Arabidopsis thaliana: one gene and its partners. The main gene of each other region encodes a partner of the protein of the gene in region 2 in a complex. Each region holds a gene or a part of one and is shown on either strand. Other genes may lie near its edges. The genes, in order: NYE1, ACD2 and HCAR.

Region 1 (10,617 bases), 5.4 Mb from region 2:
TGATCTTTCTGACTTTCTCTATTTACTGAGATATTTTGAAATGCAAACAACTTTTATTTTGAGATACTTGATGTTTATCCGTTTGTAAGAAAGATGAGTTTGACACCAGTGCTACTGCTAGGCTATGTGTATGTAACAATATCTATGACTTAATTTTGAGTATATAAAGTGTCCTTATATTGTTCAAATTAGGACTGTACATACTATCAACATGTTTATAAATTTAGAAAATAGTCATTTTCAGGATTAACAATAAATTTCCTTATTTGGATATATATGTCCACATGTATCTCGCCCTGCTGTAATACAAATGCATATACAGTGTGTGTGTCAGTAGAAATATATCATATATGATGATGACAGATATATCTACATAATGCTAGGGATGAGACGAAGCATTGTAGTAAATAATGCTAGTTTTGATCATGGTTTGCATTATACATATCAATAAATATATTTGCACATGTTTAAATCAGACATGATGAGTTCATGATATAACACATTCTCATTCATGCGAGTTTACAAAATTACAGATGCTTCTTTTGTATATGTGTATGTGGATGTATATATATGGGAAACTTTATATGTATGCATGAATATGTAAAATTTAGCAACAAATTAAGAGGTACTATTTTGCTTAATTTTAACACACACCGTGATTTAATTGAGCATTAACTGTAGAGAAGTCATCGCATGTGTGTAGATCAGAATTATTTTAATTCTTTCTACGTTTTCTCTTATTTTATTCTTTGGGATATAATTTATGCTGAATAAATATAGATTTGATTATAAAGGATTAAGCACTTAACAATTAACTATGAAATGTCTTTTGAGCAAACTCAAGAGAGGTTAATCACAATTAACTAGGTATTCTTAACCACATAATCCTTGTTGTTATCGCACTGCTTAATGATACTCTAAAGGTTTAGCTTATTAATTTCAATATTTCGATTTGAGCGTGTCCATGTGCATCTATATATACTTGTCTCTTTATATGTATATTGGCGTAGCCATGTAAAATATTGATGCATGATTTGAATCATAAATCTTAAATACAATATATTTGATATTTTCTGCATTTTGAAGTAAAGAGGAACACTCTTTTGTTTTCATATAACCTATTATTTTGTTTAGAAAATAAACATGTATATATTATATATGGTCCTCGAAACATGAGATCATATCCTAACTTTTGGGAACAATGCAACTAAGCCATATCTGCATGATTCTCTGTGATTCTCTTCGTTCACAGTTCAGTTTCAATATTTAACGGTCATAAATCATGATGATATATATTCTAAATGTCAATAAATAAATGGAATTTATTTATTTAGTCACATAAGTATATACTTTTCACACATATATGCATATATAGCTTCAATTGGTTTTGACTCCACATTTTCGTTTCTTTTATTTTCATTTGATTCATTTCAGTATAGCAGCAACAATTGAACGCTATCAGAGACGAATAAAAGAAATTGGGAATAATCATAAGAGAAATGATAATTCTCAGGTAAATTCTCATTCATATTTCGGGTTTTACATATTGTAAACGTACGATATTTTTTATAAATATTTTTTTTGTGTGTTCCAAATATTTAACCGACTATACTACTTTTACTTGACAGCAAGCGAGAGACGAAACATCTGGATTGACAAAAAAGATTGAACAGCTAGAGATATCTAAACGGTTTTGAAACTCAAAATTTCTTATGAGAAACGTTTATATAAAATTATAAACGAACTATAAGATACTTTGATTGTTGAATAATTGCAGAAAATTGCTTGGAGAAGGCATTGATGCATGTTCCATCGAGGAGCTGCAACAGTTAGAGAATCAGTTGGACCGAAGCTTGAGCAGGATAAGAGCCAAGAAGGTATTATTTATACTCATTTCCAGTGATAATGGAAATTAGGATTAAGATACTATAATCGTTTTTCCGCAATTTTAGAATATTAAGATTTGATGAGAAAATTTTATGTTTACTTAATATGATGGAAGTTATTATACATGTGTTTGGCTCTTTGCGTTTACAAAAATAATTTTACCATACTAATCTAGTGATCTACACAAGTAATTAAAAGATATAGTTAAAACCTAGATTCAATTCATTTAGCAAAAAAAAATTCATCATTTTTAGTTATTATTATATATGCAATACCGTTAACAATTGAATGGTTTGCATGGTCTCGCTAATCATGCATGCATGCGTTCTTTATTTAATGTCTATGTGAAATTGTGAATGGTTTGCATGGCCTCACTAATCATATCATCAGCCTCATTGAGGCCATGCAACATTGAGTAATTTTATTGATGATTCCTCAATATAACATTGAAACAATGAGTATCAACAACGCACTTAGTGTTAGGATACTTAGTTGAAAGATTCCTTGGAATATACATGCAAATGTCTTCATAATCTATTAATAATGTGGAAATTTGCTTATAGATTGTTCGTATATTCAATTATTTTCAGTACCAATTACTCCGTGAAGAAATTGAGAAGTTGAAGGCAGAGGTAAAACACAATTCATACTTAAACTTTTTTTTGCTTTCTCTAAATGTAATTACATATATATAGAGTCATCCTGTATCTCGTTATTAATACTTCATATAACTGTTCCTTGTCAAAATCTTACTAGGAGAGGAATCTCGTTAAGGAAAATAAAGATCTGAAGGAGAAGGTACAGTTTTAGCATCTTATAAAAGGTATTATTTTTATGATATGTTAATATGTTGCTGAGTAGAAGAGTTTTTTCGGTGAAATTGTGAAAATAAAAGTGGCTTGGAATGGGAACAGCAACAATAGCATCATCACAATCAACGTTATCATCATCAGAAGTGAACATAGATGACAATATGGAAGTGGAGACTGGTTTGTTCATTGGACCTCCTGAGACAAGACAATCCAAAAAATTCCCTCCTCAAAATTAATCTTACAACTTCTTCAAAAAGAATGTTTTAACTATATGATGTAAGAACTTTTTATCTTTATATATTTTCGTCCAAAAAAATTGAGATGTAATAATTAATATGTTCTTAATCAAAGAGTTAAACTTAAAAATTTACCTGTAACTTACAGTTCCATTACTTGTATCTATTAGGACTTGAACAAACCGAACTAAACTGAATCGGTTTAAGTATTTAGTTACGTAACATACAGAGAGAATAAAAATGATTAGGGACATAAGCCTTTAGGAGTGGGGTCTCTGTAACGAATAAGTTGGATTGCGTACTGTCGCTTTCCGGCGAATTCAATTCTGTTCAGACATTTCTTTTTCACTTTTATTGTATAGTTTGCGTTTGTGTATTGCACTTTCGATATTCTCTCTCTAATTTCATCATCATATTCATTCACAATGTATCTCTTTGTAATACATTCAGTGCCGTGGCTTTCAAGCTTTTGGTCAATATGGGTTGTATCATTTCTTATCGGAGGAATAAACCGGCGGCACCAACAGGATTGCCGGAAAACCGTCCTCGTTTCCATACTCTTCCATCAGAAAGAAGAATAGCAAATGATCAAGCCCAAAAGGTGACAGAATTGTTGAAGATGAGTGATAAATTAGGTCCAAAGGAGCTGAAGAGAGAAGAAAGTATTCTCGTTGTTAATGTTCATCCTCGCTCATCGGAATTAGCTGCCTCTGGTTGGCCACCGTGGCTTATTTCTGTAGCTGGTGAAGCCCTTGTTGGTTGGACCCCTGGTCGTGAATCTCACTTTGAGAAGCAAGAACAAGTCTCTCGCTCTTTCTCTTCCTTTCTTTATTGATTCTCATATGATAAAGAGACTTATTCTCTGTATTTGCAACAGATTGGGGGAGGAACATTCAGTAAGGTGTTCAAAGCTAGAGATCTTCTTCGTAACAAGACCGTGGCTTTGAAGAGAATCCGGTTCGATATCAACAACTCAGAAAGCATCAAATGTATAGCCAGAGAGATCATAATCCTGCGCAAGTTGGATCATCCCAATGTCATCAAATTAGAAGGGTTAATGCTTGTAGACCACGATTCCTCTACCCTTTACCTGATCTTTGAGTACATGGAACATGACCTCTTGGGACTCTCTTCATTACTCGGTGTACATTTCTCAGAACCTCAGGTATTCTTTATCGCTTCTATTCACACTCTCTTCATTACTTGGTGTCAAATTCTCAGGTACTCTCTTCTTCTTCTTCTTCTCTGTTCAGGTTAAATGCTACATGAGGCAGCTCTTAAGAGGGCTTGATCATTGTCACACTAATCATGTACTCCATCGGGATATGAAAAGCTCGAACCTTCTGATCAACGGTGATGGAGTCCTCAAGATTGCAGATTTTGGGTTAGCTACGTTCTTCGATCCTCATAACAGTGTTCCTTTGACAACCCATGTTGCAACTCTATGGTATCGACCTCCTGAGCTTTTGCTTGGAGCTTCTCATTACGGTATTGGAGTTGACTTGTGGAGCACAGGCTGCGTAATAGGTGAATTATATGCCGGAAAGCCTATTCTTCCAGGAAAAAATGAGGTAAGCAATTAGATTCCTATCACTCTTGTTCTTACCAGATAAGCAAAGCTTCAGATTTTTGTTCTCTGTATTCTCATGTTAAGACAGACCAACTGCACAAGATATTCAAGTTGTGTGGATCGCCTTCAGATGATTATTGGACAAAACTAAAGCTACAGCTTTCAACTCCACTGAGACCCATCTATCCATATGGATCACATATAGCAGAGACATTTAAACAGTTTCCAGCTTCAGTTATTTCGCTCTTAGAAACTTTGCTCTCAATAGATCCAGATTTCCGAGGCACTGCAGCTAGTGCTCTCAAGAGTAAAGTAAGTTTGGACTTTACGTATTCCTCTGACAAAAATGTTGTTCTTGTGACTTCAACTGATTATACTCTTCACTGTGAAACAGTACTTCAAAACTGAGCCATTGGCTTGTGATCCATCTTGTCTACCAAAATACCCTTCAAGTAAGGAAATCAACATCAAGATGCGCGATAACACTAGAAAACAAGCTTCACAAATAAGAAGAACAGACGAAGCTCAAGCTGTTCAGCCAATTCTAGCAGATTCGTCTCCCACAAAGCCGATGCAGGTATCTCTCTACTCTTACGGTTTCTTGGTTTCTTGAGTGTTTTGGCAGAAATATCCGAAATAAAAGTTTATGCATATGCAGAGAAAGTCCTCAAATTCCAAGAGCAGAGACAGTTCACTTACAAAGTCTTACGAGGAAGACAAGACTTCCAGTTTACCGGACCATTCTGCTGGGAAAATGCAAACATCTACAGACATGATAACTGAAGATGAAACTAACGCGAAAGTCTCTTACATGGACCCATCTACAGAAGAACCGAATCTAGGCGGATCAGTGAATATGGAGGAACGCATACCTTGGCCAATGAGTCCATCTACACTTCACCCAACAGCATTTCTGCCTAGCCTTTACGAGAATGGAACATCTTCGTCGGGAGGACTAGGAATCAGACCCACACTGATTGAGAATTATACTGTCATTTAGATTCAATATAGAGAAAATAGACAGATTCAAACACAAAATAAACATTATTGGTCAGTATCTTGCTTTTATTCCTCAAAAAATGCAGGGCATAACTCAGCCGTAAGAAAATTCAATCCAAAAGGTACACGAGTTCACTTATTTGGGAGAAAAAATTTGACAACTTCAAATCACCACATTATTTCAACGGTTGCCATTGAAGGGTTTCTCCAGCAAACATAGGGACGATCTCTCCGAATGGGAAGTTGAAAACGTCTGGAACCTTCCAAGGAGATTTCTTCAGTGTGATCTTTGACGAGTTTCTCGGAAGGCCATAGAAATCAGGTCCATTGAAACTGGTGAAAGCTTCCAACTTGTCCAGCGCACCCGCCTGAATGTTAAAGAAGTTAAAGTTATGAACATAAGGAATCACAAACCGGGAAAGTAAACTGTTTGAAGTTACACAGTTTACCTCATCAAAGACCTTGGCGTATAGGGACAAGGCAATGGGAGCGCTGTAAATACCAGCACATCCGCAGGATGATTCTTTTCTACTCCGTTCATGTGGAGCACTATCTGTGCCGAGGAAGAACTTCTTGCTTCCACTAGTTACAGCTTTGACAATGGCTTCTCCTGTACAATGAAGTAAAAGCAATGATCTTCCGAAAGCTGCTGAAAAAATGAAATATTAATGTTCAAAAGGAAAGTGAAGAACATACTATGTATTTCTCTTTTGAGAACGGGAAGACAGTAGTTGTGAGGTTGTAATCCACCTTGGAAAAGGGCGTTCCTGTTGAGAAGGAGATGTTGTGGTGTGACTGTTGCACCCACAGACCCTATAATCAACAAAATGTTATGAGCTATGCAGATTAACAAAAACCAAAAGACAAGAAATGAAAATAAGATAGTAACAAAACCTTCTTTGCAAGATTCAACAAAATTCACAGCATCCATGGTTGTGATGTGTTCCATCACTACTTTCAGCTGCGGAAGGCGTTGGATTAGAGGCTGCAGAACTGTCTCAATGAAGATTTTCTCGCGGTCAAAGACATCGATACTCGGATCTGTGACCTCCCCATGAACCTAATCAAAACATTCCTCAGACAAGACAAAGACAAAAATACAAGTCTATGTGGTGTATGATTTATTTACCAGCAAAGGCATGTTTTGTTTGACCATCTCTTCTAGTACCGGTAAGCATTTTCCAAAGAGATCCGTGACACCATCTTGAGAGTTGGTTGTTGCTCCGGCAGGGTACAGCTTCACCGCATAAACCACACCACTTTCCCCTAATAACAAGATCATATATGCATAAACTGAACATTAGCAAGTAGAATCTCAATCAGAAAGATGAAAATGTATCTGATTAGTTTGCAACAAGATGGAGAAAGCACAGGTACTTACTTGCAAGCCTGATCTCTTCAGGTAGAGTTTTGTCAGTCAAATAAAGTGTCATAAGTGGATCAAAGCTACTCTCAGATGGCAAAGCTTTCATGATAAATTTCCGGTAAATAATGGCAGCTGCAGTGGAGGTGACAGGAGGCTTCAGATTCGGCATCACAATCGCTCTCTTAAAATTACTCGCACTGCACATAATTACATACACCATTAACCATCATGTACAGCACAAGCATCAACGCCAGCACAAGATTGTGATTGAGGAATTCATACATAACAAACAATGGTTCCACAAGAAACACCAATAGCAAACAAAAAAGTGGCTGCAAAACAAAGTAAAGCAAGGAAAGAAAAGAAAGATTGCAGGATGTTTATAAGACCTGTGGGGAACAACAGCATGAAGAAGATCACCGTCACGGAGATGAAGATGCCAATCATCAGGTTGAGTGATTGTGAGCTCCATTCTTACTGCTCTCGTCTTCACTTTCTCAGAAGATCTGTCAAACTTCAACTTCTGAGATCCAAATCCCTACATAAAGAATAAAATAGTTGACTTTAACAGACGCATAGGAGGAATTAAATAAAATTAAAACTGGATCACGTGGATTGAACTAAACAAGAATAAGACTCAAAGAGTGGTGGAGGTAGAGTACATACACTATAAGGAGAGACCAAAGTCTTTATCATCTGAAAGCTGCTCAAGGCTTTGCAAGAATTCACCTGTTCCAAAGCAAATGACAAGTAGACTCAGATTCTATAACATGACCTTAAAAAATTGACTCTGTTCTAAAGTATTAGCAGGCACTAAAACTATTCAATCATCATCAAAAGATTTCGCATTCCTTTGGTTCAATGTTTCTCCAAACGAAATTTAGTATCCAGATTAATCAAATTTCTATACACACAAATGGGTATCAGCAAAATCCAAAGAAATCAAATTATCCAAACAATAAACCACAAAATGGCGAAACTGGTAAACACCTAGAAACCAAAATCGAAAACTTGAACTTGTTTAGGTAAGCAATACGAACCTGGATAAACGAAATGCACAACAGGGATGCTTACAACACAAACAAAACGAACCCCAAAAAGAGTGATTTGAGGAAGAGATTGAAGGAGAAAGAAGAAGAAAAAACAGTACTCGTGTTTTGTTGTTTACAAGATACGACGTCGCTTAACGTAAAAGAAGAAGAAAAAAATAAAAGCTCTGTAACAGGCCAGCCCAATTTTAGCCCGATATTTTTAATGGACCTGGACCTGATCACAAATTTCAGCCCTTTTTAACATCCTTATGGATCAACATGGGACTCTCTGACTCCTCCGGTTCCATCAATACCTGCGTTTGTTGTCCTTGTTCACGACGATTCAAGCGAAGAAGCCTCTCGAGTTTCACAGGTCTAATAACTAAACCGAGTAATCGAGTCGAATGACATTAAATTGAACCGAAACTAAACCGTATTGCTTTAGGTTCGACTGACAACTACAGTACGTGAGTTAGGTTCGGTTAGAGCCGAATCTGTGTCTCTTTGTCGCAACGAGATGGCTAAAGTTATCCAAAAAGACGGTTAGAGCCAGTTGTTAGCCCCACCATGACGACACATGGGGAAGCTCATGCAAAGATTAGAGAACACGTGGCACTCTCTCGTGTTCAGAAAAATTCCAAAAGAGTGTTCAGATTTGGGCACGGAAGTGTGAAACGTGAAGCAACAATCCCTTTTAAACACAAGAACCAACTCAATACGCATCACAAAGAACCCTAAATTCCTGGAAGATCTCAAAAGGAAAATTCAAAACCAAAGCTTCAAGCAATCATCAAGCAAAGGAAAAGCTCAAATTTTGGGTCTTTTATATATTTATTTCTTAAAGTTACAATCTTTTTGATTGTGGTTTCAGTGTACGAACACGCAAGAACTCGCGTGAAAAAATTGTATCCAAGCTTCGTGAAAGGAGTCTCTCTGTATTTAGTGGCGTTTTGTTCTGTTGTTATTTCTGAAATATTGAAGCTTTTGATTTGGGTTTCAAGAGAGCAGAGATGTGTAGTTTGTCGGCGATTATGTTGTTACCAACGAAGCTGAAACCAGCTTATTCAGACAAACGGAGTAACAGTAGCAGCAGCAGCTCACTCTTCTTCAACAATAGAAGATCCAAGAAGAAGAACCAATCGATTGTTCCCGTAAGGATTTGTTCTCTTAATCATTTTGACATATCTTTGTTTTATGTGTCTCAGTTATGGATATATCTATGCCTCTGTCTTTATTGATGGAACTTGAAACTTTTGGGATCGGTGCAGGTTGCAAGGTTGTTTGGACCGGCGATTTTCGAATCATCCAAATTGAAAGTACTCTTCTTAGGGGTTGATGAGAAGAAGCATCCTTCAACGCTCCCTAGGACTTACACACTCACTCACAGTGACATTACAGCTAAACTAACCTTAGCTATTTCTCAATCCATAAACAACTCTCAGGTAAAAACACCTCTCTCTCTGGTCTTAACATATCTACATGGCTCTGTTTATAGGAGTAGAATGTTTATGTATTTGATTATTTGGAGCAAATATTAGAGGCTTATGTATGATTGTTTTAACCTATGTATGTGTCTATATTCACCAGAATCTCTTAACACTTTAGAGGCTGATATGTATAGAAATGTTTTTTATAGTTGCAAGGATGGGCAAATAGGCTATACCGGGATGAAGTTGTGGCAGAATGGAAGAAAGTGAAAGGGAAAATGTCGCTTCACGTTCATTGTCACATAAGCGGTGGCCATTTCCTTTTAGATCTCTTTGCAAAGTTTCGATATTTCATCTTTTGCAAAGAACTACCTGTGGTAAGTTCCCAAATTCATAAGAAACTTTTTATTGGTTTCATGTAAAACAAAATGTTTATTGTTTTGATATATACAGGTGTTGAAGGCTTTTGTGCATGGAGATGGGAACTTGTTGAACAACTATCCTGAGCTACAAGAAGCTCTTGTTTGGGTCTATTTCCATTCTAATGTCAATGAGTTCAACAAAGTCGAGTGTTGGGGTCCGCTTTGGGAAGCTGTTTCGCCTGATGGTCACAAGACTGAGACTCTTCCCGAGGCTCGGTGTGCGGACGAGTGTAGTTGTTGTTTTCCAACCGTTAGCTCGATTCCATGGTCTCATAGTCTTAGTAATGAAGGTGTAAATGGTTACTCTGGGACTCAGACTGAGGGAATTGCTACTCCAAATCCGGAGAAACTCTAGTGACTAAATATCAAATTACAAGTTTTTCTTTTGGTAGTTTGTACAAAGTGAAAAGGAAATGGCAGGACTTTCCTTTTGGTGGATCTAAATATTGGTTTGGTTTGGTGTACATAATGTGGTATAGGAAAATAATGATTATTTGTAGGTTAAATACAGATTTTAAAGTTTCAAATGGTATTTTGTGTCTACTCTGAAGTCTTTATCATAGTTGTATACTTGTATTGTATCTCATCCACAAGATCAAAATGTAAATTTCTTACAGATTAGCTAATATTAAAGGTGACAGACTGGTATAGTACTACTGCAATGCAAACATAAAGATGAATAAATTGTTGTTTAATGAACATATATATTTTAATATATCAAAACATTCATGAGAATCATCACCAATTTAAAGTTATACTAATATCCCAAATAAGAATAGTTTAGAAATATGAAGATATTCATGAGAATCATCACCAAAGTAACAATAGACGTATATTAAGGACCGAATTCGTCGGTGTAACGGTGAG
Region 2 (10,617 bases):
GATATTAAACTTGGTAACCATAAATAAACCAAAACCGAAATAACCGACTAAAAACCGAAACAACCAAAAAAATTGACCAATAACCGATATAGAACGTACGTAAAAAAAAGACATATTCACAACTCAGAAAGATGCAAATATGGTCCATACTCTCCATAATATTAAAACACCTGATTCACAACTCACAAAATTCAACTTGCAAACTAATAAAGAGAAGAACATAGTTAAGTGTCAATACATACAATATATGTGATATATTATCTATCATACATATATGCTTTGGTTATCCTTTGGTTATCGGTTACTAACCTAACCGAAACCGAAACCGAAATCTAAGACATATAATATCCAGCCGGTTATTTTAAGCTATCCAAACCCGAACCGAACCATGTTTTTCGGTTCGGTTCGGTTAATCGGTTAGCAGTTTTTTTGCCCAGGCCTAAATTGAATGTTTGGAATCACTAACGACTAATGCTGGATACAAAATCCGTTTAGATTTTCTATCATTATATAAATTTAAAATCTAAGCAAATAAAATATTAAAAAAACAAATACAAAAACGGTTTTTAAAATCCAAAAAATAAACAAAATCAAAATGTAAAAACGACTTATAAAAATCCGAATTAAAAACTTGAATGTTAATCTATATAATAATAGAAAAAACAAGTTGAATATTTGGAATCGCTAACGACTAATGCTGGATCCAAAATCCGGTTAGATTTCCTATCATTATATAAATTTAGTATCCAAGTTTCTTAAAATCCGTAACAACAAAAAAAAACAAAAAATTTCAAAATCTTTTTTTGTGACTTTAAAGTATAAATATTCGAAAAGCTGCTAATTTTTTGAAAAAAAAAAAGAAAAAAGAAGATTGGATAGAAATTGACCTTTTTTATGGGCTGAAATTTTTGTTCCTTTAGGTGGGCTTTGTTAGGCAAAAGGGCTTCGTTGATGTCATGAATCTAACGCCACCACGTCTCTCTGCATCGCAAACCTCCACCGGAAACGTATAAGCCACTCCTCAATCTTCTCTCTCTGTATCGCCACCGCCGTCGTCGATTGCAGCTCCTCGCCGGATTGAAGCTCCATCATCATGACTTTGAAGCTTGAAATACCGGCGACACGTAATCATTCTTTAACTTCTGGATCGTCACTCATCTCGATCGCTGTAATTTTTGGAACGATTCTCCAGAAAGGGCTCATCTTGGTCGAAGAAGAGTCATCAACATCATCTTCCATCACGTTCGTTTCTCGTTCGGTTTGTCGAAGAGCGACTGCAAATCAACAAATCAAAGTGTGAAAAATTTGGAGCGTAACGGCTAACGAAGAGGTTTGACCAGTCAACGATAACCAACGGTTACTCACCAATAATCTCCGATGAATCCTCATCAATCTTCCCTCTCTATCGCCATCTCCGTCGTCAATTGCCGTTTTTATCACCCAAGTCTTCGCAAAATCTTCGTAACGGCTAAGCGAACAGAACCGAATCCATCGGCTAGCGTAATGATTCTAAACGAAGAAGAGAATCCGATATCGGAGAAATCAGAGAGCATGAAATTGCGTATTTCTCAATCTATAGCCCTCTCTCTCTCTGTATTTCTTGTTTCTCTAGGTTTTTGTTTGTGATGATCGATCGAAGATACTTAAACGATGAGGCTATTCTATAAACATTAATGATGTGTTAGGGATTTCCTTTTTTCTCTTGTTTCCTTTTTCCTTTTTCCACATGTGATTAGGGTTCAGCGTAACGGTACTTTTTAAAAAAAAACTCTTATGCGTTGTTTCCTTTTTCACTTAATGATTTGGTAATTACGTACTAAACCATAGGTTAACTAGTAGGGAGCTACAAAAGAAAATTGCAATTTGATGTACATGTATGTTGATAATATACACAAGAGAAAGAACAAAACTTTCTTTCGTTTCAACATTCTTTAATAATATAAGAAAAAAAGAAACTGGTTTTACAATAAGTTTGGCTTTGATGATTTGAGCGCAATGGTCAAGAGACATCTGGATACAATCAAACAAATAAAGCGTTATCAATCCACCATTCATCTCCTCTAGTCCTTCAAAAGGCTTAAGAGCCATTAACCCCATTTAGAATTCTTCAGATCGGAGATCCATGTGTTGTTATAAGATTTCAGAAATCTGCAATAAGAAAGCACATTTGAAGTCATTAACCTAAGATAAAAACAGCAGAATGTTTCTTGCTTTTTCTTTGATTGATTGGTTCTACTGTATACATTGATTGGCATCTCAGCGATGAGTATGCCACTGCTTTCTTCGAGGCTTTTGAGAGTCGTTACTTCACCTCCAACAACCATGTTTATGACTATTCCACCTTAAGAGAAAAGTCTCAAATGTTAAGTGACATTGTTTGATGAACAAAAAGAGTTTGTTTTGAAAGAAAAAAAAAAGAACCTGAAGCTAAGCAAGTTGTTATACGCCTTGTATATGTTTCCTGAAACATGGTCATTACAAGTAGTGAATAAGAGGAAGGTTCTGGACATTTTGACTTGACAATTGCAGATTGATTAAGAAAAATACCAACCAACCTTCTTTGTAGGAAGCTCGTAGTTTATGAGAACGCGTGCGGATAGAGAAGATTCTCCTGATGAGAGTAACGGAAGGCAAACATCGGTCACAACTACCAAATGAGATGTCTTTTCTTCTTTTCCGTTTTCACTCTCTTCCAAACCTTCTTCTACCACAGAGTTAAGTTGCTGGTTCCAGTTGATTGTTGCTTGCCTGAATTTCTCTATAACCATAGCTCGTTCTCTATCTGCTAGATCGCTGTACTGTAGACACAAAAGACGTTGAACATAAACATAACCTAGTGGGAAGAACATGTAAGTTAATACCATGATGAACAAGAAAGTGGTACAACAAGAACAATAACAAACGGATATAAAAAACCGATGATATCAATCAAACAATGAAAGACAATGAACTCAAATCATGATGAACCAAGCAAGTGAATCAACAAGAAGGGTCTTTTCAAATCAAATACCAAAGAGAAGACTAAGAAGAAACATGCCTCAGCTATGAAAGTTAAAGAGAAGAAGAGAGAGAGATACCAAAGCGGCTAAGGAAATGTAAGGAAGAGTGGATAAGGAAGAACAGACGGCGTCAAGTTCGTCACGAGAGCTGCAACAGACTACAATCGGAAGCCATGGACGACGACCTAGAACGCCTAATAATTCCACTACAGTCTCCTGTGCCCACATCCAAAGTTTCGAAATTTGCGATTCAGAATCTCAGTCTTGATGAGAAATTACAAGGAATATTGATACAATTTACTTACCATTTTGAATTGGGGACGATCCACGGCGAGGTAGAAATGCAATTGTTGACTGCAAACCAAAAAAACAAATTGGGTTTTTAGGGTTTTTGTTAGAAGGTATGAGATAATCCTTATAAACTCAAAATTAAAACCTGGAACGAGAGGGAGATTGAAATGGTAGAGATGGAGCTTCCATGGAGTCCATAATCCGTCTTTCTCAAAATTGTCCAATTCGCCGGAGAAGTTACGCTCCGGTAACCAGGTCACGGACTTATACGCAGTCGTTTCCAGTCTTTTGAGATTTATTACTCTAGCAACGTCGTCGTTTGGTTATATGTAAGTATCAGATCTAAACAACATCGTTTCTGGTTCATATTTTACATAATTTATTTTTTGGTCAAAGACATTTATACATAAAAAATGATAAAACAAATGTTCGTTCAAGGACATTTACATATTCAAAATAATGGATGTGAATTACATTATTATTTTTATACAACAATACATTTTTATTCGACCAAGCCACAAATCAAACTTCTTTATTATTATAAATCAAGGTGATTAACAAATATTATTCACAACCATTACTAATTGATTTATACTTAGCCGTAAGAGGTTCTCTTCATCATCTTCATGAACTCCTCCAAGTTAACTTCTCCATCTTCTGCGTAGGTTAAGGCAAAAACATGAACTTGAGGGACCGATTATAGATAAAACGCAAAATTATTATGTGTTTTTGCTTACTGTCACGGTCTGCTTCTTCGATCATTTCTTCTATATCATTATCTGTGAAATTTTCTCCCAATTCTTTAGCAATCATCTTTATATCACGAGGTGAAATCTTCCCCTAAAACATTCCAAAAGTTGTCCAGTCAAACACAATGAAATCAATCCAAACAAAAAAAGATAATATTAAAAAGAATGAAATAATGACAGGTTTAGATTTATTCACATTATTGTCGTGGTCAATGATCTTAAACGCCTTAGACAATTCGTCTATGGAGTCTCGTTCTCCGAATTTGGTTGTCATCATATGCACAAATTCGTCGAAATCTATGGCTCCACTTTGGTTTTTATCTACTTCTGCCATCAATTCGTTTATTTGCTGCAACAATGAACATGACCAAACTAAATACAAGTTGGTTCTACGTACAATGATCTAAACCATGAAATTAAAACAAAGAAGAAAAAAGGAAGGAAAACAAACAAACCTGATTATTCATCTCAAATCCAAGAGACCTGTAATCAGCTGATAATTTTTTAGTACTATACTTAACTAGAACTTGAAGAAAATAACTTTGAAAAAGAAAGAAAAATTGCCGTTGACCTCATAGCAACGTTGAGCTCGCTAGCATCGATGCTACCTACATATGAAATGATGCACTAAATCATGTGAGCAATAACTTTGTAAATCGGATAAAGAATCGGTTTAATAGTTTACCTGAACCGTCTATGTCGAAAAGATCAAAGATCTCTCTGATCTCTCGTCTCTTCTGATTGGTCAACCCATAAGTCTTCCCTTTAGGCTTTAGACCTCTTCTGAGCTGTGCTGCTTCCGACATGTAATTCGCCTTCCGGAAGACAAAAAGAAAAACAAAACCGATGAACAAAGTAGTCGGATAAAGAATCTAAACTAAGAGACAATCGAGAAAAGAAAACACTAACCATTTCTTGTGTAGGAAGGAAAAGGATGATCTGATAAGAACAAATGGATTAAATGGATGATTTAGTTAATTTGGTTTATGATGCATGCGATGACGAGATTAGTTGCCGATGATCTGTCTCTTTTTTGTCTGGTTACTAACTCTTTTGAAAGCGATTTAGCTTTAAAACTTTTAGTTTTGCACGTTTATGTTCCTTCGTTAATATTAATCTATATATTATATTGGTTTTGCTAATGTAAAATGACATGATCTAGAGAACGAGAAATTTAACAAAACATCCATGTAAAATAGTGAAAAAAAAACTTTAAAATCCATGAGAAAAACAATAATTCAAGACTTTTTTTTACAGATAAATTAGAAACTTGATTGATAAATTTACAATCCCATAGTATTAAAATGAATCAGAAGGAATCCGATTCAGAGATGATTCACAACAAAGACGTTCTTAGGAGAAAACAGGACTTGTTTGATGGTCATCTTGCGTTCTTGTGACATTGATGAAAGTAAATGTTTAGTACAATGAACATTAACTGATGTATATATATAGTTACATAATCTAGAGAACACCGAAAGCTTCTTTAATAGCGTGTACAACACGGGAGGAAACTTCTTCACCAAACATTCTCGGAAACTGCAAATCCAAATCGTCCTCTATGCTCTTCCTTCTAAAGCTTTTATCTCTTCTCTCCAACTCCATTCTCTCTTCTTCCCCAACCACAATCTTCTCTTCTTCTTCCTTCACACACCGCTCCAACCAAACCTCGAGAACCTCCTTAGCAGCTGGACTAACATGATCTCTCAATATCTCCTCCAACTTATCCTCTTCCTCCGCATCAATCTTAAGCATCGAAGCAGTAGGAGAGAAAGCAGAACGGACAAAGAGAGAAGGAGACACATAAGGGTTAACTTCAGGTAGCTTAAGGAGAGATTGTCGATGAGAATCAAGAGCAGTGTCTTGGTAATACTCCTTGAGATAATCCGGGTTAAGAACAAGATCTTTACGATGTGGGAGGTCAAGGATTAGCACAAGCGACTTGGAACTGCTCTGTATTAGTTCGACCACAAAGTTTGGAGCTTTTGTTGATGAGTTTAAGAATCCAGAGATGCTTGTTATATTCAAAGATACTCCTGTTGGGATCTTGCAATGTATCCAACTTCCTATAACAAAATCAATCTGCAAAACAAAACAAACTTTAAGATTCTCTAAAAAGTTTTTTTTTAGGGTTATGATTTACATCGAAATTGAAGTCTGTTTCTACTTAAAATCAAGCAATTGAGCTCTAAAACAAGCATGCAAAACAGTCAATTTCGATCTCATAACTGAAAAACAGAGTTAATCGTCGCAAGTACCGGAGAAGATTTGTCGCCGGATCTGATATGAAGAGATGCTTCGGCGGAACCGTTAGGGTTATTGAAGTTTCGTACATCTGGAGGGAGGTTACAGGGAAGGAGTTGTGATTGGAGGCGATTCTCCACCGTCGACATGAGATCAACCATGAGCTGCTTCCGCGTGGGTGACACATACGGGAACTCCATAAATTTTCGGCGGAGGTGATCGTCGTGGTCTTCCATGGACTGGAATTGAGCTCGAGGTCTGAGATTCTTTGAGAATCGCGACGGTTTTGAAGTTAACGGCGAGAGATATGATGGAGAAGAAGAAGAGTAGAGAGTGTTGCAAAATATCATCGCCATTTTTTATGTGGCTATGACTAAATTATGTCTCTTCTTTTTTATTTACACTTTTGAAGAAATTAATTACTATTTTACCGGGATTATAGTTTTGTGGTTTGTAATATATTTCTTGTGGTGAATTATTACATACACATATTTAAATAAAATAAACTATGCTTTTTAATTTTTAAATGGTTTGAGAGTTGGTAAGTGATCTTCTTCTACTCAATCAAGTGATGCAAGTATTGGGCCAAGAGCGACTTAATTGGGCAAACAAATAATAAGAATAAATTTCTAAATTTTTCGATTCTTAAACAAGTAAATGATTTGTTTGTTGTAGAGCTAGTTGGAATTATTTTTCTCTCTAGTTAAGTAGTGTCTTTGGAACCTTACTAAATTTTTATTTAATTTCATAGCATTTTCTATTTAGTATATTGCTGTATTTTTTCGATTCCTTGAAGACATCTTTATTTTTATTTTCCTGATAAAGAGTTCTAGAAAATGTTTCTGTGACTTTTATAAAGACAATTTCGAGGGAAAAATATTCAACGGATTACGTAAAAACACGGAAACCACCTACTACTACTTGCAAAGAAAATCAATCAAACATAAAAGTAAAATTTCTTCCTCTTTCACAAGTTTTCAACTAAGTAGATGACCTTAGACCAAGTATTTCACATGCTTTTTTACATTATGAAGACATAAATTAAGCAACAATAAAACTTCAACATCTGTTTTATTTTCTTAATACACTAATTAAATTATATAATACATGAAAATCCATTTATATATTTGCGTTGATCCTTCTGGACCTTCTTCACCTTTTTAAAACATAAAAATAACTTTTCTTCCTTACGGAAAAAAATAGTTTTTTAAATCATTTTTTTCGTCGTCGTCGATGACGTGTCACACGCTGGTTTGAACAGTCTTCTACTCTTTTTTTAGTTGCAGACTTTGCTGCTTTTCCACAACGGCGCGTGAAAGTCCACGTTCTTTATTTCCGTCATACGGGACCCACTCACCACATAATTCTTTTCATCCCGGTCCCTCTTTTTTCTCTCTCCTTTCAACCACACCCCAAACAATTTCAATCCTTCACCTACCCCCTCCTCTGCTCCTCCGCCGCCGTCGCAACCTTCGCACTCACTCTCTTCGTCAGACTCCACCGGTTTAAATTTCCCTCCTTTGATCATTTTATCGATTTGTTCCGGTCTTACTTTCAGATGACCCGTCAAGAACGTCACTAGCTCATCGCGCTGCTTCTTCGCCGCCGCGAGCTCCGAGCTCAAGTTATTGTTTTCACGTTTAAGCTTCTCGTTCTCTCCTGATAAATCAGCAACCATGTTCTCCACCGAACCAGGATTCTTCGACGAACCGGGTGATGACGTGGAGCTTGAACCGTGATCATCACCACCACCAGAATTAGACTCAGAAGGCGAACCAACAACAACACATTTCCCCGCCGTTGAAGCAATCACCGATTTACGCCGTCGTATGTCCGTCAACAGATCCTCCCCGCCTCTCCGGAAATAATCGTTTGCAAATTCCCATTTATCCGGTACAGTTTTACGAAATCCCTAAACCAAAAAAAAAAAAAAAAAAAGAACAAGAACATTCTCAGCTTCTAGAAGGTTTTCTCACCAACCCCCAAATTATGAGAAAATTACGAAATTGGCTAACCAACTACAAAAGAATGATTCAATTCACCAAACGAATTAAATGAAGCATTAAATTGAGAGTAAATGAGTTTTCGTTAGAGTGAAACTCACGTAAGTGTTGAGCTGACGAATGAAGCTTGAGAAATTATTATGCTTGAAGTATTGAGGAAGAAGATCTTTAGCAAACTCTGCTGTTTTCCACACGACAAAAGCTGTTCCTTCTTCGTTCCATGAAACGACGTCGTCTGTGCTATGATCATCAACTAGCTGATACGTTTTGCTTAAAAACGGCGCCGGAACTGATCTTTGCGCCGCCGTCACAGCCGTCATCTCCGGCGAACTTTTTTTATTTTACCACAGAAAAATAAAACTAAAAATAATCTAATACACAAAGAGAAGAAGAAAGATTGGAAATAGAAAGTCGAAGGAAAAAGAATCAGCAACTAAAAAGCAAGAGAGCGGTGAGAAATTCCCAATCCCAGCAATAAAAGCCAGAGAGGAAAACACGAGAACGGAGAAGATCGGAGTTTCGTTTGGTTTCTTCCATTTAAGGAAAAATCTGATGATGGAGGAAGAAGATGAAGACGACGACCATACTTCGCCGGAGCTAATCCGTGTGATTAAAAAGTAAATAAATATAAAGTCTTTTTTATTTTTGTGTGTATGTGCAAAACAAGTAAAACAAATATATAAACGAGTTAAGTGTTATGTCGAAGGGTCTCTATATAACGTAGTAGGAAGATTTATAGATCACAAATGTTGGTCCTACCTTTGTAAGAAAATTAAATTATAAAAACGGATGCTGTTTCTAGAAATTCTCAGAAACATCTTTTCTTCTTACTTTCTTCTCTTTTGAATAATTTTTATCCATCAAAAATATTGTTAAAAAAGTCTAAAAAGTCTTATCTTTTGAATTATGTTCTACTTTTTCTCTCCCTTGAATATTTATATTCGTAATTTATAAATCTCATATTTTATATTATTGTTAAAATTATTAGATGTCAAATTATATTTTAATCTATAGTTGAGTTTATAAATCATTTAATATATGCAGAAATATGTAAATGCTAAAATATGTTGAGTCGCCAATCAAAACAATGTTATTTTAAAACAAACACGCACGAAAAGAGAAAATTATATACTTGTGTTTTTCTAGAAAGTTTTAAAATTAACAGATTTGTAATTTTTTTTTTTTCAAATATGACGGGAGACGGAAAGATATTTTATACAATACAAATTGCGACTTTGTTAATTAGTTTTGTTTCTATTATATTTCTTTTTGTATATTTAAATGTGTTCACCTAACACATTTCGGCTTCATTTCACATTTAGGCACCAATGAGCTTCATTTACCTTTTCTTTTTCAATATATGTGTGTCTTTAGACTAAACAATTCGGATAATATATTTTAACGTGTGAGTCGTGACAAATTCAAGTTCTTAAAATACCCATCGACATCTACGTCTTCATTCTTGGATTTATTTCCAACACCTTTGGCTTTTATCCGCATTTTTATTATCATTCATTGATAACGCCACGGCTAAGTATTTAATATCAATCAAAGACAGTAAAATCTTACCTAAATAGTTGGCATGGTTGAAGAAAAAAGGTCTTAGAGAGACGAGTATTCATAGTTTACACAAATTCAAGTCTCCATTGGAGAAAGACGATATCAACGTGTGAAAATGTCGATAGTTGCATGCACATCTCCATATATATGGACCTCATCATACAAATCGTCTATTTTTAAACGCTATATAATTGAGTCAGTATACTTATTTTGCAAGTTATAGTAGAATTTAGAGCTAATTATATATCTATATAAATGATTCAGTATTTTGTGAACCAAATACTCCTTTGGCATTGATAAATGATAAATATTTGCGACCTTTTTCATGTCGATAGAGTTTTTGTTTTTTTTCTTAATTCAAGCTAGTTGAGGTATCTCATTTTAGACTTCTATACTTCACATTTACTAACAGCGAATTGTTTCCTCTTCTTTTACAAGAAATTACATTCTGTTAAATTGTGCACAATGATAGAATTTTTTTTCTCCACATAGAAAAGTCGGAATGAACAATTTTGACTTCGTGAAATACTATTCAAGTTGATAGTAAACAAGAAACTTCTTTAAAACATGCATGTATTATGAACTACATTGTTTTTTTTTTGTTTTTTTTACATTAGTTTTTACTCAAAAATCATCTAACAGCTTAAACGGAACCATTTACTGTATTTTATAACAAAGAAATTACAGATTCTGACTTTATGTTGGGATAAATAATTAATATAATGCGGATGGTAACACATCGATGACATTAACACAAACCACTATCTTATA
Region 3 (10,617 bases), on a different chromosome or scaffold from region 2:
TTGAGCGTTGAAGATGACGGAGGCGATGATAAGAAATAAGCCAGGAATGGCGAGTGTGAAGGATATGCCGCTGCTTCAGGATGGTCCGCCACCGGGTGGGTTCGCACCGGTCCGATATGCCCGCCGGATATCCAATACGGGTCCTAGTGCAATGGCCATGTTCCTTGCCGTTTCTGGTGCCTTTGCTTGGGGAATGTACCAGGTCGGCCAGGGAAACAAAATCCGCAGGTAAGAACGACTTGTAATAGCTCGTTCACATTTCAATTTTTCCTCTAAAATTCGAGATCGCCTTGGTAAAATTAGTGTTGTGGAGTGATTGATGACCATAGTAATGTAGTGAAGGATACATTTTGGTTAATAATTGTTGAAACTTGAGTATGTTTATCGTAGGAATTGGTTAATATTATTAACCTATGGAAACATAGGCTTGTTGAATCACTGTTATGTATTCTGTTATTAGTATTCCCCGACATTTTGGTTGAAGCTTAATCAGCATGAGTTTAGCCTTAAACGAATATAAAGTTCGTCAACAATTTGTAAACTCTTAAAGCCACAATTGCAAAGATGTGAGAATCTGTTATGATGAAAGCAATTATCTAGTTGCATGTTTTGATAGTAGTTATCGGGATACTGTTTCTATGTAGATAGATTGTTTTAGTATTATATCTGGCTTGATCATTAACTTCTTATGCATTTACAATGGTCCTAAACAAGTCTGATTTGATATCAGTAAGTATCAAGATTAATGCTCTTATCAAGATTGATGTGATGTTTAGGGCATTGAAGGAAGAGAAATATGCTGCTCGTAGAACAATACTTCCCATTCTTCAAGCAGAAGAAGATGAAAGGTAAACCATATTCTCAAATTTAAGTCAATGTGCCTGCAGCAACCTTCAGATAGCAATCTTGTTTCAATCCCCGTTTTGCATTCTAGGTTTGTGTCTGAGTGGAAAAAGTATCTGGAATATGAGGCTGATGTAATGAAAGATGTTCCGGGATGGAAAGTTGGCGAGAATGTGTACAATTCTGGTCGCTGGATGCCTCCGGCTACTGGGGAACTCCGTCCTGATGTGTGGTGATTTCCTAGTTTCTCTCAAATGCATATGATGATGATGAATGATGTTTCGCTGAGGATTGATATGTTCTTGTTATATCTTTTTTTCTTCGGGTAATAAGAGAATGATTCAACAGACAGTATTCTTCTTGTATTGGTTTTCTCTTAAGTGTTTCAATCGTAATATGAGGCAAAAACAGTTTCATGATTCATCAGCAAGCTGCAAGAAATTGGCTTATTTGACAGCTCCAGGTGAAAAATATTCGAAAAAGCTTACCGAGTGAAATCGAACCAAATCATATATAATTATATGTGAATTTAATATCCAAAACAATAAAATTTTGAAAACAAGAGTTCTTGAAAATGAAAAAAAGAGTAAAACCTTTTCAGAAAATAAATAAAATTAAATGCTAAATATAGTACATGAAAATGAGAAAAATATGTTAGATTTGTGAAATCGTTAATGACCATGGTTAAATGGCGGGATCCAAAATCCGGTTAGATTTCACAACGTCATATTAATTTAGTATTTATAAAATCTTTTAAAAAAAAGAAAAAGGAAAAAAAAAGAGAGTTGAAAACATTTTTAAAAAAATAAAATAAAAATAATTAAATGCTAAATATACATGAAGATGTGAAAAACATGTTGGATTTGTGGAATCGCTAATGACCACGGTTAAATGGCGGGATCCAAAATCTGGTTAGATTTCACAACGTTATATTAATTTAGTATTTATTAAAACTTTTAAAAAAATCAAAAAAAATTTGAAAAACTTTTAAGAAAAGAAAACAAAAAATAAATGCTAAATATACATGAAGATGTGAAAAATATGTTGGATTTATGGAATCGCTAATGACCACGGTTAAATGGCGGGATCAAAAATCCGGTTAGATTTCACAACGTCATATTAATTTAGTATTTATAAAAAACCTTTAAAAAATTATTTATTTAAATGTTTTAGTGAAAGTTTTAGTTTTGGTTAAAATAATTTTTAAAGAAAAGAAGAAAAAAAGTTAGAATGAAGAAAGTCCTAGTGTAACGAAGGCCTCATACAGCAAAGCCCATTCCAAAGTCCTAGTGTAGCTCTGTCGTAACATTATCCACCAATTTTAGGTCAATTTTGTAAAACTAAACTACAAGATCATTCCATGGGAAGCTTCTCTCCGATATGCAAGACAAGACGCCAAAGAATGGCAAGATGCAGAAGAGTACACCCACCGTTTATCATCAAAACCTGACAGAGTAACGTCACAAGAACCAACAGCTAATCTCTGGACAACACCCCCTATTGGTTGGACGAAATGCAACTATGACGGCACTTACCACAGCAACGCTCCGAGTAAAGCGGGTTGGCTCTTACGGGATGATCGAGGAACCTTTCTAGGTGCAGCTCATGCTATAGGCTCTATTACTACCAATCCGATGGAAAGTGAACTCCAAGCTTTAGTCATGGCCATGCAACATTGTTGGAGTAGGGGCTATAGGAAAATTTACTTTGAAGGTGACAATAAAGAAGTCTCAGAGATTGTCAATGGTCGGTCTTCAAATTTTGCAGTTTTTAATTGGATAAGAGATATAAGCGCTTGGAGATCAAAATTTGAAGAATGCAAGTTTACTTGGACAAGGCGATTTTCAAACATGGCTGCAGATGCTCTGGCAAAACAACAACTTCCTTTGAACACTCAGTTTTATTGCTATAACTATATCCCGTTTGTAATAACTGATTTTTTACATCGCGACTTTGCTACAGCAAATTATTAATAAAGCTGATGTTTGAGGAAAAAAAAAAAAACTACAAGATCAAACCCTAGTTCCTCCGATGAAATTGCGGTTAGAAAACTAAATATTGATTGACCTAATTCAAAGAGACCTTTTTTGTGCAGAAACTAAATATTAAAAATCCAAGGTTCCAAGAGATCAAATAGGAATTTAAGCGAGAAGCAACATACCTGAGTCTCGTGACAACGGCGCGTGGTTTGCGTCAATACTTGGGACTCTCGGTGAGATCCGCCATGATTTGCTAGAGAGATCGTGAAACGCAAGAAAACAGAGAGACAAACGGTGGCGAGATCATTGATGGTGTGATCACCGAGTTACAGTTCCGACGGTTCTGACGGTGGTGAAAATGGATGGTGATCATCGAGCTTTGACGTTCTCGTGATCGGTGAGTTCTTTTTGTAAGAGAGGAACAGAAACAAACAGAGGCTAAAAAGACAAAAGAAGAAGAAGAAGGTGGATTTTTTGTTTTCTTCTCGTAATCCATGCTTTGGACCTTGTATCAGCCACTTATGATCATTTGCTATATTGATGCTTTCCAATTTTAGAGTATTGAAATGGGTTTCTTTGACAATCATTTTGAGTTAGTCATCATTCCTTGTTCTGAATCAAGAATTGGCTTTTGTTATGTTGTCTAGGTTCTGCTTGTAACTAGAGTAATGCTATTGTAGTCTCTGTTGTTTATTTGTAGAATCATAGAGAGTCGTGGAAGCATGTTTTAGTTGTTACTCTCGATTTCTTGTCGATGTTGTGGTGTTATAAATTGAGCGTTTTAACCAATACAAGTTAGGAGATGGTTAGTATGTGACTATGTGTTAGTGGCCATGTATGTAGTTCGATCAGATAATCTGAATGATGTGCTAAAGAGCTTGCATAGGAAGACTGCCTTTGTGTTAGCTTGCATAGAGACTTGTTGCAATATATGAGACTGAAAACTATTATGTGAAAACTTTAATTTGTGTACAAATATTTTTAACTCTTAAAATTAAACTAACATTGTACCAATTAGCACATGAAAGAAACACAGAATTCTGTGAACATATGATGAATAACTATATAAACACATTATGGATTCAGTTAAGGAGACAGAAACAAGAAGATGAATTTCAGATATATAGCAATAGAGTCACTTATAATCATATCAGAGCTTATACTTTATACAAATTATCACTTTAGTCCTTAAATTAAAACCGATTTAATCGACAATCTTGTTATTCTTTAAAACAATTTGTTCTTATTTTCAATCTTTAAATTTTGCAACAATCGACAGAACTTATCGTTATTCCGTGTTTTTATTTTCATATCTTTCTTAAAATGTTTCAAAATAATATATGTTTAATATTTTCTGATTTACAATAGTTATTAAGTTATATGAAATATAATTATTTTAAATTTTATTTTATTTTTCAGAAAACTCTTATAAGAGAGCTTACCATTAGAATATGAAAAAAAATTAAAACTCTCTTATAACTTTTTAAAAATTTTAATAATAAAAAAATGGAGAAAGCCCGTGAAAGAGCTCTTACGAACCAAAACCATTCAGTCCGGTTAAGAATTGGTTATCAAGTTTGGTTCCTAAAAGATATCCAAGTTCAAAAGCAAAAAAATATCTTCTTTTCTCTCTCTCTACTCTCTTCTCTTCTTCTCTTCTTCTCTTCTTCTCTGGCTGGGCAACCATGATTACTGTCGTCACCTCCAGGCTCTCTCTCCTTCCTCCAGTCTTCTCCGTCGTTAACTCTTCTTCTTCGCGTTCCAAAGGTGCTCAATTTATTTCTGCCACGTCTTCTCTTTATAGCACTCTGTTTTACACACGTCGTTGATTCTTCAGTTTTTTAAAAGACCCGTCTTATACAAAATTTCAGTGTAACCGATCCCTGAAATTCGTTAAAGGGATGAAATTTTATCTAAGATTCGGAGTTTTCTTTTCGAACATAGTGGTAATGTTTGTCGAATGCTTGATTTGGTCTTCCACAGCTGTCACTATCGAGTTTGAAGATAGAAATCTTGTGTTAACTTAGTATGTATTACTGCATAATGTCAATTCTGTTTGAAAGCATCAGAATTTCGGAACAGATTTTTGTTTCGTATAGCATCGATCTTTGTCTTGTGTGTTTTTATCTTCTCTCTGAAGCCTGCATGAACCCTTCTCTTATGGCTTTAATTGCAGATATGAATCTAGAGCCAAAAAAGAAGGTTAAATTAAGAGAAGACTGGAGAGAAAAGTCCAGACCTATCCCACCCGGAGGAACCTATCCAGCTAAAGACCATTGCAGGTTTTTTCTTTCTTTTTTGTTTGTTTGTTTGTTTACCTCACTATTTTTGTCTCATTCTTATCAAGATCCTTGGTGTTCTGATGGGTTTGCAGTCAGTGCGGGCTATGCGACACCTACTACATTGCCCATGTGAAGGAGGCATGTGCATTTCTTGGAGATGGAATGTCAAGGATTGAGGTAATGTCCATATAAATGGATAAGATTTGATACTCTTTTTAATTGATGGGCTAAGATTCTTATTTTGTTAATATTTTAAGTTCTTGTGCAGAGCTTGGAACCTGTTGTGCATGGTAGAGGAAGGAAAGCAGATTCCTTACAAGATACATATTTTGGGGTGCATCAAGAGCAGCTCTATGCTCGTAAGTTGAAGCCTGTCGAAGGTAAATAGACACTTCCCTTCCACTGTTCCACATTTTCTACTAACTTCTTTTCCTGGCTCAATCTAAGCTAGGGCACTTTTGTGTCTCGTTCAAGATGAATTTAGCTTAGCTTTGTTGTTTACTTTTCATTCTATTTTCGGTTGCAGGAGCTCAGTGGACTGGAATTGTCACAACCATAGCCATTGAGATGCTGAAATCTAATATGGTTGAAGCTGTCGTTTGTGTGCAGAGGTAAAACTACTGTTGAATTTCAGAAATGGACTAGGCTTACATTTATCGACCATGCTGTAGATTTTTCCATCTATCCATGTAACTGATTTATTGAAATATTACAGTGATCCTGAAGACAGATTATCTCCAAGACCAGTATTAGCCAGGTTTTCCACCTTCCTAATGTGGTTTATTTTGAGTCCATTCTTCTTCAAGTCGCCATTTTTTAGATGTGGATCCATATTTTGCTGTTACTCTGGATATAGAAGCGTATTGATGTTTCATTTCTTTTCATTCTAAGGACACCTGAAGAAGTTTTGGCTGCAAGAGGTGTCAAGCCAACTCTGTCTCCTAATCTGAATACTCTTGAATTAATCGAGGTTATTTGCCAAACCCTTATTTCTTGTTTGTGTTTTCAATCACTGAATCCATTTCACATGAACTTAGAATTTGTATTGTAACAGGCTTCCGGAGTGAAGCGTCTTCTGTTTTGCGGTGTGGGTTGCCAAGTGCAAGGTATGGGCTCAACATACTTTTTTGTGGACGTATATTTCAAGTTTCTCCATATCGTGACTCTCATAGTATTGTAATGCAGAGTGATTTCTTATACTGCAGCATTGAGATCAGTGGAGCAGCATCTGAATCTGGAAAAGTTGTATGTACTAGGCACCAATTGTGGTATTTTCCTCATCCTATCTAGATTTGTTTTTTCTCCAGAACTTTCACAACTAGTTCTTGTGTTGTACTTTTGAACATTCCATGTTGTATATGTTATTTCGGAGTCTTGTATGCTTAGGTCTAGAAATGCTTATACATTTTTAAACAAGTAAAAAGAACATCTTTGATTAATAGTGGACAACGGAACACGAGATGGACTAGACAAGTTTCTGAAAGCAGCTAGTAAAGAGCCAGAGACTGTTCTCCATTATGAATTTATGCAAGATTACAAGGTTAGCATTAATACAAAACCATCACTTATCTGTGCATTTTCTTTGGTGATGCCAATCTTGTTCAATTTCTCTTATAGGTCCAACTCAAACACTTGGATGGACACATTGAAGAGGTAAATTCGCTTAAAATACTGTGTTGCTCTGCAATTGCAGCTGAAAGCCGTTTTTAAAAAACTTTTTTTGGCTAAAGCAGGTTCCCTATTTCTCTCTACCTGCAAACGATTTAGTAGATGTCATAGCTCCATCGTGTTACAGGTAATACAAGTCTCTGCATTGTCTCTATACCTTGAAATAGATAACCTGTCGGAAATTTTTAAAACTTGTCTACAATTACAAACCCTATCTTTTTTATTCTGCAGCTGCTTTGATTACACAAATGCATTAGCGGTGAGTGTTTCTCTAGCAATTAAGATGTCTTTTCACTTAATTTTGATTCTGCCAATTTCAAACATTTCCTGATATGTATGAGCTTGTTTATCTAGGATTTGGTTATCGGTTACATGGGTGTTCCGAAGTATTCAGGTCTGAACATGACTGACCATCCACAGTATATTACAGTGAGGTCAATATTTCTACGTATTTTGACATGGACCATATAGGTTCTCGTGGTTGGATAAAATTAGTTTTGTTTATGCCTTAAACCACAGAAATGAACGTGGGAAAGAAATGCTCAGCTTGGTAGAAAACCTTTTGGAGATCACTCCAACAATCAGCAGCGTAAAGTTTCTAACATTTATATTTGTTGTTATATTTAAGACTTTAAGAGTCCACTTAACAAATAACATGAACAAACACACCTTTTGTTGTTGTTTCAGGGTGATCGGCGACCTTTTGTGACAGAAACTGTTAAGGCAGACGATGCTGCTAAGTTTGGTATGTTTTCAAACGTATTCGAAACTCTTTTGTTTCTTGAATCGTCTCTGCTTAAAGACATTCAGTTTCAAGCAAAGCTAGATGCCAAAAAGAAAGTTCTCAGCAAATGCATGCAACTAACATTGTGCTAAAGTCTTCTAACTAGTCTATAATTTCTTAGGTCAAGGTCCTGCTCAGCCAGCGCCACTATTTGTTGGAAACATTATTGCGTTCATCCTAAATTTGGTAAGATTATTTCCTTATGAACACAAACCGAGAAACAAGCTCATTGCATAAAAAGTCAAAGAGTTTCTTAACTTGCAAAACCATTCTTGCTTCAGGTTGGTCCTAAGGGTCTAGAATTTGCTCGGTACTCGTTGGACTACCATACCATCAGAAACTATTTGTACGTAAACCGCAAATGGGGAAAGCAAAGGTAAGATCTGAAACACACTCCTAGAGATAAAAGTTTATTGCGATCAACTGTGTATTTCTATACTATTGGATCGTTCTCTAATGACCAAAGCTGCATTACCATCTACAGAGCAAACACCCACATGCCATCATATGCCAAAAAGATAGTGGAAATGTACAACAAAAACGGCCAAATAGATAAAATGCTCTCCAAGAAATGAACATTTTAGGCCTTTCTCATGTAAGTTTCCAAATGTATATTTCATCCTACAAGTGAGTAAATGTACATTGGTCCTACTGTTTCTCAACTTGTAGTATGTTAGTAATATCCAAAACTATTTCCCTCGTGAATTTGGTAAGACACCGGCAAGAAAAGATGGGTCGGTTTGGTGTTTTTTGGCAGAGAACAGAGAATAAGAAACAGTCTAAATCAGCGGCTGAATCCAAATCAACCCATGTGGGTTCCTTCCTCCATATCTTTAGGTTAAGGTGATGTCCGAGTAAAAGGTTGCAGGGTTTTGCATGAGAACATGAATAACTGTTTTAAGAGGATGGGAACCAGACATTTACACAGTTGGGGGGAATTAGCTTTTAATGTCTTTTTTTTGCTTGGACAAAGAAGAAGGAACCATGGTTAAGCTTCACTCGCTCGCTCACTCACTCACTCACTCACTAACTTACTCATCACCATATTTCACACATTGGAAACTTCAAATTTTACTCTCTCTCTTTTTTTCTTTTTTTGTCTTTTTGTTAGTCAAGTCTCTGCTCTGCTCGTTCAATGACTTTGCTGCAGAGACTCTCAGACCTCAAGTGAAACTCATAAATGTCTCTGCTCTTTTGCACCATAGTTGATTTTTTCTCACCAGAGGCATTGTCCTAATACAGAGCATGTAAACGTTTTTTCTAATAATATATTTAAGTGAAATAAAGCTTACTTTGGTACCTTGAATTAATTTTGAGTTGCAATTTGACATATAACAATGTTAGAGAATTCATTTACGTATTGCATATTTTGGATCTGTATCTGTATCTGTTTCAGTATATATATATTTATAACTAGATCCAACATCATATATAATATATGATTTCACTCAAGTTTTTCTGAGAAAGTTGTATAATGTTATATTTATTATCCATCTGTGTTTCAAATTAGATACATTGTTCATCCCTAATGGATTTTGCATATCCTACAGAAATGCATGTTTCAGTATTTTCAACTTGTGTTCCCTGGAGGTTGTAATCCATGAAACAACTTTAATATGGACTGTCCAAGACAATCATGTGTAAATCAATCATTTGCCAAATATAATGATTACAAAATGGCTAATAATTCCTTAATCAGTTAAATAACAGCTCTAACTTGTGAGAGTATTCTTCCAATAATGAAACAGCATGAAATTAGTTGTTTCTTTTCCTGATCAACAACATCATCATAGAGATAACACAACATGCATCGTTGAGAAAAGAATTACAAAACCGTAAAATATATTTGTCATATTAGATTAAGCAAAACTTCTTACAAGAGTTCAAAATCTAAAATGAAGATTTAAAAAAAATACAACAACAAAATAAAGCACTCTTAAAATAAAAATACATAAAAAAGCCACATCTTCCTAAAAAAACAAAGAAAAATCCCCCTATTATTTTTTTCTTTTCACAATTCTCTTTTTTTTGGGGGTATTTTCTTCCGAGGAGAGGGCTTAATTATCTTCTTCTTTTTTTGAATATTTTTTTCCCTAAATTTGATAATGATGATTAGAAATGTGAAATACAACGACGATGACGAGCAGCAGCAGTTTTCTTCTGTTGCTTAGACTCTTCTTTCCACCTATTAGCAATATCATGAGCCACACTCATAGCATCAAGCGACGCACCAAACAATCCTTTTCTCGTGAACCCTACCGCATACAATCCCGCCTCTCCTTTCCATCCGTTTGGAAACGGGTTTTTTGGTATCCCATCATCGGAGAAGAAGTCGTTGTCCTGTTAATACAATTAAAATTCAACACACCAAATTAGTACACATACGAATTTATTGACCTAATTCTTAGTCCTAACTGTCATTACCGGATTTCTATTTCTAACCAAAAACTAGTACCACGTTTTTGTATCCTTTTCGATGAAAATATAAATGTTAATGGTTCATTTGCATTTATTGCTCACATTCGAAACACAATTTGAGTAGGGTTTTCACTAAACTAGGACCGGGTCGGGTGGTTTTTTTTGTGTGTTTTGTCTTCCGACATCATTAAATGTCTAAAATTTAAGCTAAACCTTGAGAAGAAACAATGAATGAAAGATGTTTTATTTATTACCTTAAGCCATGAAGGGACGTTGCTTCTGTATCCAGTAGCTAGAATAACGGAATCAATCTCAAGAACACGGCCATCTATTAGCTCAACTTTGCCTTTGCCGAACTTTATGATTCCGGGGACGATTTTGATCTTTCCCGATCTGATTTTGGGTAACGCTCCGATGTCAAGAACCGGAGTTTTGCCTTCCTTGTTCTTTAGCTCTAACGGTCCAATTTTCGGCCTTTTTAGACCGTATTTATCGGTATTCCCCAAGATAATCCTCGCCAGAAAGAGTATAGTCTTGTCCGCGAGCCAAACGGGCATATACTTCATCATCGTAACTCCTAATTCAAACGTTGATTTCCCAAAAATCTCTCTTGGTAAAACATGAACCTGATAAAATCAAGAAA

What was found.
Region 1: ACD2 (region 2) and NYE1 share a complex: the UniProt entries of both Arabidopsis thaliana proteins name them as parts of the SGR1-CCE-LHCII complex.
Region 3: ACD2 (region 2) and HCAR share a complex: the UniProt entries of both Arabidopsis thaliana proteins name them as parts of the SGR1-CCE-LHCII complex.

Annotation. Positions count from the first base shown.
Region 1 is NC_003075.7:12,016,264-12,026,880, reverse strand, and holds NYE1 (non-yellowing 1), read left to right. Parts: upstream 1-8,237; 5' UTR 8,238-8,274; intron 8,275-8,346; 5' UTR 8,347-8,911; coding exon 8,912-9,052; intron 9,053-9,169; coding exon 9,170-9,343; intron 9,344-9,537; coding exon 9,538-9,705; intron 9,706-9,781; coding exon 9,782-10,105; 3' UTR 10,106-10,418; downstream 10,419-10,617. Other genes in the region: AGL19 (AGAMOUS-like 19), read left to right, coding at 1,435-1,513, 1,629-1,690, 1,778-1,877, 2,478-2,519, 2,644-2,685, 2,783-2,935; AT4G22940 (Protein kinase superfamily protein), read left to right, coding at 3,414-3,737, 3,813-4,100, 4,189-4,506, 4,590-4,817, 4,900-5,082, 5,164-5,505; PYR4 (pyrimidin 4), read right to left, coding at 5,681-5,872, 5,954-6,114, 6,201-6,317, 6,399-6,564, 6,634-6,770, 6,886-7,067, 7,260-7,408, 7,537-7,566. UniProt on the Arabidopsis thaliana protein: Magnesium chelatase involved in chlorophyll a degradation in the chlorophyll-protein complexes of photosystem I (PSI) and photosystem II (PSII). Contributes to the degradation of PSI and PSII in the thylakoid membranes.
Region 2 is NC_003075.7:17,438,649-17,449,265, reverse strand, and holds ACD2 (accelerated cell death 2 (ACD2)), read right to left. Parts: upstream 6,655-10,617; 5' UTR 6,640-6,654; coding exon 6,298-6,639; intron 6,122-6,297; coding exon 5,504-6,121; 3' UTR 4,971-5,503; downstream 1-4,970. Other genes in the region: AT4G37022 (uncharacterized protein), read right to left, coding at 1,022-1,105, 1,183-1,274, 1,366-1,402, 1,467-1,553; AT4G37020 (initiation factor 4A-like protein), read right to left, coding at 2,088-2,341, 2,422-2,461, 2,556-2,798, 3,078-3,215, 3,305-3,353, 3,436-3,488; CEN2 (centrin 2), read right to left, coding at 3,886-3,947, 4,028-4,130, 4,236-4,388, 4,495-4,522, 4,611-4,647, 4,725-4,854, 4,949-4,951; HSF4 (heat shock factor 4), read right to left, coding at 7,560-8,195, 8,388-8,606. UniProt on the Arabidopsis thaliana protein: Catalyzes the key reaction of chlorophyll catabolism, porphyrin macrocycle cleavage of pheophorbide a (pheide a) to a primary fluorescent catabolite (pFCC).
Region 3 is NC_003070.9:1,280,383-1,290,999, reverse strand, and holds HCAR (coenzyme F420 hydrogenase family / dehydrogenase, beta subunit family), read left to right. Parts: upstream 1-4,380; 5' UTR 4,381-4,507; coding exon 4,508-4,589; intron 4,590-4,998; coding exon 4,999-5,104; intron 5,105-5,196; coding exon 5,197-5,281; intron 5,282-5,372; coding exon 5,373-5,484; intron 5,485-5,630; coding exon 5,631-5,715; intron 5,716-5,819; coding exon 5,820-5,861; intron 5,862-5,995; coding exon 5,996-6,074; intron 6,075-6,158; coding exon 6,159-6,210; intron 6,211-6,309; coding exon 6,310-6,372; intron 6,373-6,546; coding exon 6,547-6,644; intron 6,645-6,721; coding exon 6,722-6,757; intron 6,758-6,837; coding exon 6,838-6,899; intron 6,900-7,003; coding exon 7,004-7,031; intron 7,032-7,126; coding exon 7,127-7,206; intron 7,207-7,291; coding exon 7,292-7,361; intron 7,362-7,459; coding exon 7,460-7,517; intron 7,518-7,677; coding exon 7,678-7,742; intron 7,743-7,837; coding exon 7,838-7,932; intron 7,933-8,040; coding exon 8,041-8,131; 3' UTR 8,132-8,837; and 1 more. Other genes in the region: MEE4 (GRIM-19 protein), read left to right, coding at 14-228, 777-848, 935-1,079; AT1G04625 (Polynucleotidyl transferase, ribonuclease H-like superfamily protein), read left to right, coding at 1,180-1,306, 2,212-2,768, 3,080-3,169; YUC3 (YUCCA 3), read right to left, coding at 9,669-9,896, 10,229-10,600. UniProt on the Arabidopsis thaliana protein: Probable iron-sulfur flavoprotein that converts 7-hydroxymethyl chlorophyll a to chlorophyll a using ferredoxin as a reducing equivalent. Catalyzes the reduction of a hydroxymethyl group to a methyl group. Belongs to the chlorophyll catabolic enzymes (CCEs).